Caenorhabditis elegans: one gene and its partner. The protein of the gene in region 2 purifies or fractionates together with the protein of the main gene of each other region. This does not show direct contact. Each region holds a gene or a part of one and is shown on either strand. Other genes may lie near its edges.

Region 1 (4,018 bases), on a different chromosome or scaffold from region 2:
TCTAACAAGTTTCAATTCAAGGAAAAATCAAGTTCATTATATCCATACTCTATTTATTCAAAGTTAATCTGTTGTTCTACCTCTGCGGTTCCCGTGAAGTCCCATCGAGATATGATTTTTCAAGCGGATTCTTGTCGCTAATAGTTTTTAAAGCTTGATGATCAACTTCCACGAATATGCGAGACACTTATTAACAAATTTTCACTTATTACTGTAAACTAAACATTTCAAAATTAATAAAAAAAATTTAATTACAGGCCATAATAGCGTGACACTCGTTCTGCGTACATCTGGCTTTATTTCCACGTGTCCCACGAGTTTTTCTTCCTCTTCAGTTTTTGATCAGTGCTAATTGTTTTCGTTAGAATTTGAAAACTTCGAAACTTCGAAACGAAACTACTTCGAAAAAAAATGAAGATAAAATGTGTTGAAGTCAACAGCGACAAATATTCGATTAAATCAGTGCTTGGAAAATTCTGTGATACAAACTGTGGAGGAATCAATGTGTGAGTTTCAAGATTTTTCCACTTCGGCTAATACAATACTTTTTCAGCTCATTGTTTGTCTCAGAAACTACTTCGAATAAGTATAGATTTGAATGGGAATTAAAATGGGACGAATTGAAGAAGAAAGGGGTCAAGCATTTGTTTGGAACAATCACCCCGGAAACCAACGACAAGTTGGTTCCAAGCATTGATTTTTCTGTTGATGAAAAACGCAGCACATCTAATTTGGAAACTTCTAAAGACTGGTTGTACAACATTCCTTTCAAGTACAAAATTTTCTACAAAGAATCCGATTATTCTGGATTAACTTTGGAAGAACTTTTCAAGCCATCTGAAAGGAATGATGCCGTTTTAGTGATCGGAGGTACAAAGATGCATGTCAATAAAGCTGTAAGATGTTTTTTTGCAGTTGCAGTGTCCTATATTTATAATTTTCCAGTTGCTGAGCTTCCATTCTGAATATTTTCGAGCTCTGTTCTCCTCGAATTTCAAAGAAGGAAAGTTGACTGAAATCCCAATGTATGAAGTTTCATATGAAGATTTCTCGAGAATGCTGGCAGTTTTGTATGGAAATGAAGCTTTATTGAAAGGTGATCCAATCCTTCAAACTAATATGAATTCATTATTTCAGATGATAATTTGGAAAAGATGTTGGAGCTGGCCGATCAATTTCAGGTGCCACGTGTAACGGCTCATATCGAGACTCATTTGTGCCACTTTTCGAAAATGAAGCAGGATCAATTGATGCGTTTGGCAGACAAATTCAATTTGCGTACAATCATCGAAAAGATTATCAGTGAAGTGGACACTACTCAAAAAATGAAGAACCTCAAGAACTCGGCAGTGTTCTGGAATTTATCAGATGAAACGAAGGTGCTCTTCCTGTATCGTCTCATGCAATTGATCTAAAGGATGGTATAGATTGAAGTTTTTTTATTGTATAATTTATGTATTTATTGTATTTTCGTGGTATAATTATGGAAGAATAAATGCATCGCATTTGAAAGTTTTTTTATACAGATTATCTCTTATTCAAAAAAGTTACATTTAACTAGTAAAATCTAGCCAGAAATTTAAGATCGTGTAGAACTCAGAAGATATCCGAAATCAGATGGCAGTGCTGAATACTGCTCATAACTATTTTTGTTACCTTTTTTTAAACATTGGTAAATATTGGCTTGGCTTAAAGTATGGCTTATGACGTGAACCAACATTGAAAATGGACGAATATTCTGGAAATTGAGTTTTTTTAGATAATAAAAAACGCTGTAACTATATATAAATAAATGTAATGTTTGTTTAAAACACCTTTTCTTCCAGTGCTACACCCTTTTATTGATCTTTTGTGTCAATATAAGTAGACTCTTATCACTTTGAACTTGTTCACTGACATTCTATTCACCATGACAGTCAATTCTTTATTCAACAATTTTACTTTTTTTTAAATATTAAACTTGCATTATTATTTTTGAAGTGAGTTAGTGAACGAAAACAAACAAAGACCCTCCACGGGTACTCACTATCAGTACTACTCACGTATTTGGATATTTTTTGCGGGGATTTGGAAAGCCATTTGCAGTTCCAACCAACTATGTTCTTAAGAAGACGTAATTTAAATTCATCAAGAATCATATGCATCATATCAATTATCGTGCTTCTTCTTATAATCATTTCACTATATCCTCATAAGCGGACACAATTTGGAAGATATTCTCGAAGACAGAAGACCATTCGATTTCAGCATAGTACTGGAGAAATAGGCAAGTAATCTTTTAAATCATACTTTAAAATAAATTTCCATTTAGGCGATCAATTATTCTCTCTACTTTCTCATCTTGGTGTTGCAAAAACTCTTTATCGAATTCCAGTTATCAATTCTGCTAATAATTCAAAATTAATCGATACTCTTTCAAACGCAATGTTTACAAGATTTCCATCGATTCTGCAACAATTTTTAATTGCTATTGAACCAGTAAGTGCATTTTTATAAAAATTTTCACAATTAAATGTATTATTTCAAATGATGATAAATTTGATTTTTAGCCAACAGCAGTGAATAGAGAACTTGGAATCGAGAATAGTTCGTACGAAGATCCTCTTACAAAGTTCTCAGAGGACACATCTTCAAGTCTGATGGTCAAAGGTTTGAGTGATCAATATAGTTTGGAAGTCTATTGTTTTTTATTCAGGGAACGGATTCAAAAGTTTTAAATATTTTGATAATTTGCGTTCTGACATTCGCTTGTGGGTATTGGAAGACGCCGAAAGTGTTCTAGAAGCACAAAATTTGATTACAAAATCTCAACGGAACAACTTCAAGTAAGCATTTTGATCATTTTAAAATTTATTTTTATTTATTTATTTCAGAATTTGTGTGCATGCAACATTAGAAAGCAATAAGAACTGCAGTGTTAAAGCAATTGCACAAATTCTGAATCATTGTAAATTAATTGAAACTTGACCATTTTTAGCCGTTCGTTTTCAGATACCAATGAATATGAGGATGTTATGTTGATAATTGCTAGCCCGTTTCCGGAATTTACTCGTTTCATTTTTACGAACTCGAGAATCAGAAAATACAAAACTGAAAAAGTGAGTTTAGTAAGTACAAACTTTCTTAATAATTTGTTATCATTTTTCAGTTTTCATTGATCAGTTCTTCACCAGAAATGCAAATTATTTTTTCAAGAATCTATTGTGATGTTGTATTCTTGACAGTTCCATATTCAACACATGGATGGTGGATGGGATATTTGGCAAAAGATGACAATAGCCACGTGTTCTATTTTGATCCAGACATGTTCCCGAAAAATAGAACGGCGAACCAAGAAGACTATTTCCCGCCAAAATGGAAGAAATTGTCAAGAAAAATTCAATGATCTCGATTTATCTTGTACAATAACTAACTTTTGTTTTGAATAAATAATTCATTAAGGCTGTGTATATGCAGTTTTCAGGAAAAAAAAACTGTTCAACGTCGATCACATTTTACTCACAGCTTTTGAGCCAAAAATTGAAATTAAATTTCCACCCAGAAGAAGACAGCGTCAGAGCCAAAAGAACAACCAAAAATCGGCAATTTAATTTGCCTGTATACAAAAACACGGATGTTTTTAATGTTTTAAGTCAGCTGAGTTCATAATAAACTTGATAACAAACGTGTCTTAAACTTCATCAATTGATTGTGCAAGTTTATAGAAAAAGATATATGTATCTTGAAAACCAAAAAACACGTGCAGGGTAACTAGACTTCAATTTTTGGAAATATAAAAATATACTACTAATATGTTTGTATTAAAATAATTTTATGAGAAACAAGTTGATAATTGACAGAAAACAATTATTTACAGAAAGGTACGTGCTTACAAAATGAAACTGGTTCAAGATTCTTCTTAAGTCCATCGAATCCCTTGAAAATTGTGTCCATAATATTTCCTTTGAACATAACACACATGGTCCCAACTGTGAGAGTTTTCGGATTGCTTGTTAAAGACGTGCAGAGTTTCTGTAAA
Region 2 (3,801 bases):
GCCAGTACATCTAGTATACAATTCCTTACAGTAGTCCTATACTACACCCTGAACTTTTATTATACCTGCAATCTGTTACAGTACTCCAACACCCGTATGACCACAGTCACCCACCTGAATTGTTTTTTCTACGGTATTTTTATCCTAATTTGCAGGTACAGTTCTGTAACCACAGTATATCCTTCCTACCGTAGTCCTTCAGTACCCGCTCCCTTCACTGAATAATTCCTTGTCCTCGCTACAGTTTACAAACAACCGTATGTCCACAGAAACCTGCACTCGTCCTCCTACAGTAGCTATATCCTAGATTGAGACTACAGTATTCGTACCACAGTACACCTCCCTTACAGTAGTCCTATCGTACACCCTCCACTCAAAGTTCCTCCTTTAGAGTACAGTAGTCCGTAGCTTCCTTCTCCAGTAGTTTTATTCTATCTACAGAACCCCTTTACTTCAAAATTTCAGGTATCCGCAACCGAGGAGAGCAAGGGTCTTGAAGGAGTCGCTCAGAAGCTTTTGCAGCCAGTTTAGATAACATCTTTTTAAAAGTTTTTCTAGATTCAAAGAAGAATAAACGTTTTACTAGCATGTAATTACAGTGGGAATAGACGCCACTCTAACTATTCTAGCTCTGGCAAATCGGATTTTCAGATTTCACAAATGCTGATTTTCAAACATTTCCAAGAAGAATAAATACTTTATTTACACTTTTCGAATCAAGCAGTTCTAGGTGGGCAAGTACAGTAACCCGCGTCTTCTCCTTCCTTTCCACGTGTCCCTGGTACTCCTGCAACTCCGTCCTTTCCACGTTTTCCTGGTCTTCCGTTCTCCGCCTTTCTTCCAGGTGCTCCAAGAGCTCCATCTTTTCCATCAACTCCTGGCTCTCCTTGTGCTCCAGGCTCTCCAAGTGGACCCTGTGGTCCTGGTCTTCCAGCCAATCCGACAATTGCGATAGTTCCTGGTTGTCCGGCTTGACCTCTTGGTCCAGCTCTTCCGGCGGATCCTGGTGGTCCTTGATCTCCAATTTCTCCAACTGGACCAGTTTCTCCTTGATCTCCAAGTGCTCCACGTGGCCCGGACGGTCCCTTGTCACCACGTGGTCCGAGTGGTCCAGGTGGTCCTGGTGGTCCTGGTGGTCCTGCTGGACACTTGATGCATTCTTTAGGATTTGGCATATCATGAATCACGACGTCTCCATCCACACCGTTGTCACCATCAACTCCATCGGGTCCCGGTTGTCCTGGATTTCCGAGAGATCCCTTCTCTCCTGGTGGTCCTGCTGGGCAGTTCTTTGTTGGCTCAGCGCAATCTGGAAAATTTGAACTAGGAGCTTAATTGGCGAGAAAAAGATGGCCTAAGCCTAAGAACAAGCTAGCAGAAGCCTAAGCCGAAGCCTAAGCATAAGCCTAAGCCTAAGCCTAAGCCTAAGCCTAACCTAAGCCTAAGTATAAGCTTGAGCCTATGCCGAGGCCTAAACATAAGCCTAAGCCTAAGCCTAAACCTAAGACTAAGCCTAAGCCTGAACCTAAGACTAAGCCTAAGCCTATGCCTAAGCCTAAGAACAAGCTAGCAGAAGCCTAAGCTTAAGCCTAAGCCTAATCATAAGCCTTTCTAGACTTTCCAACGAATAATAGTTTCTTTTCAGAAAAAAGTTACTCACTGCACTGATCATTTCCGACGTTTCTCTTTCCTCTCACAAATTCCTTCAAAATATTCGTCTTCTTTGGAACATTTCTCGACGTCATATCGTTCAACCGTTGCCACGTGTCATCGCTGACCTCCTTCCAGTCTTCCAACTCATCACGAATGCTCAAACGAAATGAATCGAGCTCATCGAGCATCGAAACCGAGAAATAAATAGTGCAGACGCTTACGAAAAACGCTGCGGTCGAGACACTTCCAATTACGAATTTCCACATGATGATGAGGAAGAATGAGATTTTCGGAAGATATTCATCTCATTTTTATACTCACTATTAGAACTGCAGAAAAACGTTGTTCGTTGCGTTGTTCTCTTTGATGAACTGGATACAACAAGCGGCGGAGGAAATGTTCGGTGAAAAAAGTTCCCAAGACACGCCCGAATCGTGATAGCCATAATCACTGTATCTCTGACGAAACCGTAGCACATTTTTAATAGACCAGTTTAGAATCTGTACTGAAAGCCAAAACGAATTTTTGTCGTAGCTGCTCAAAACTAGTCTCATTCGATAGGCAATGTTATTTCCTGTAGCTCATTGAACAATTTTGCAAATTGAGGTGGAAAAACACTCAATTGTACTAAATAAAGAATTCTCTATCACGGGAACACAAAATTCTGAGAATGCGTACTGCACAACATATTTGACGCGCAAAATATCTCGTAGCGAAAAATACAGTAATTCTTTAAATGACTACAGTAGCGCTTGTGTCGATTTACGGGAATGAATTTCTTTTTGAATTTTCTCTCGTTTCATTTTCTTTATTTAAATATTCTTTAAAAAAATCAATTTAATCCGTTTGGAAAATAGAGCCCGTAAATCGACAAAAGCACTACATCAATCATTTTAAGAATTACTGTAGTTTTCGCTACGAGATATTTTGCGCGTCGAATATGCTGCGCAATACGCATTCTCAGAATTTTTGTGTTTCTGCAATACAAAATGGCACTATCTAAAATCGTTTTTAAAATTAAAATTTTTTTCAACTTTTTTTTCAGTACTGACTGGGGTTCATGACTCTCTGGGTTCACAGTATAATTTACTCGCTGGCTTCAGAGTAAAATATTTGGTGAACCCAGAGAGTAAATTATAACATGGTTTTAAAAAATCGGAAATTTTACGAGCTTCCGAAAAATAGTAAAATCACGGCTGTATCAATGCTAGTTTTTTTTTGAATATCGAAAAAAAAGTTTTTAAAAACATGTTTTATACACAAAAAAAAGTTTTGTATGATCAGTTCATTCGTTTGATTTTTGCGATAGCTTGTTCCATCATGGCAACGCCAAAAATTGTGGTTTGACGTCGCAAATCCTCTGGCAGTTCTTGGATGTTATTCAATGGCATCATAATCTCATCTTTTCAGCTATGACTGCTCGCGTTATTGCCTCAATATCGCCAACCTGAAAATATGCTCCTGTTGTACTAGTTTTTCAAACTCATGAATGAAAATCTGTACTAAAAGTTTTCTAAATTTCTAGCTACGAAATGAAAAACAAAAACTAACTTTCCAACTAAACCACAGTAAGCTACTTTTCCAGTAATCACCAAATCGGCTGGCATATTATAACTCACGCATGCCGCCCACATGCCCAAAGCGGCCGCAAGCTGGGAAGTGGAACCTTTAAGCTCCGGATGATTTATATGGAATTGAACTTGCACCAGAGTTTTTCGGTTGAAGCCCGGCTGTACCCACATATGCTTTAGAAAAGCTCCATAAGCAGATCGAGTATAGTCCCTGAACGCTTTGCTGGTTTTCTTTTAAATGTGCAAAAAAAAACATTTTTTTACGTGAAACTCTAGCATTATGTGGAAATTTTATGAGAATTTTAAATTGAAAAAAAAACGTTTTCAAAAAATCCAACATGTCTTCTATTCTCTTCGCTAAAAACACTGCGGAAACAACTGGAAATTCACAAAAATCGTAAGAAACGACACTCCGATATCCCGCCACGATCTAATGCGCCACCATGAAAAATTAGTGGCCGATGTTTCTCCATTCGCGGCCACGCTGGCCTAGAAACATCAAAAACTCGGCCAGGGATTTATCTTTGATTATACATGGCGCATTTTTCTGAAACTTAACGATAATGTTCTTGAAAAA

The links.
Region 1: the proteins of col-49 (region 2) and T25D10.1 fractionate together in Caenorhabditis elegans (co-fractionation; one large-scale study listed by BioGRID). This does not show direct contact.

What each region holds. Positions count from the first base shown.
Region 1 is NC_003280.10:6,401,594-6,405,611, forward strand, and holds T25D10.1 (uncharacterized protein), read left to right. Parts: upstream 1-1,807; 5' UTR 1,808-2,097; coding exon 2,098-2,266; intron 2,267-2,311; coding exon 2,312-2,478; intron 2,479-2,549; coding exon 2,550-2,649; intron 2,650-2,695; coding exon 2,696-2,825; intron 2,826-2,873; coding exon 2,874-2,947; intron 2,948-2,991; coding exon 2,992-3,098; intron 3,099-3,148; coding exon 3,149-3,385; 3' UTR 3,386-3,447; downstream 3,448-4,018. Other genes in the region: btb-2 (BTB domain-containing protein), read left to right, coding at 412-506, 554-896, 946-1,096, 1,138-1,415; spp-11 (Saposin B-type domain-containing protein), read right to left, coding at 3,847-4,011.
Region 2 is NC_003279.8:3,135,327-3,139,127, reverse strand, and holds col-49 (Cuticle collagen 49), read right to left. Parts: upstream 1,944-3,801; 5' UTR 1,920-1,943; coding exon 1,661-1,919; intron 1,310-1,660; coding exon 717-1,309; 3' UTR 681-716; downstream 1-680. Other genes in the region: K09H9.8 (uncharacterized protein), read left to right, coding at 466-531. UniProt on the Caenorhabditis elegans protein: Probable cuticular collagen-like protein. Nematode cuticles are composed largely of collagen-like proteins. The cuticle functions both as an exoskeleton and as a barrier to protect the worm from its environment.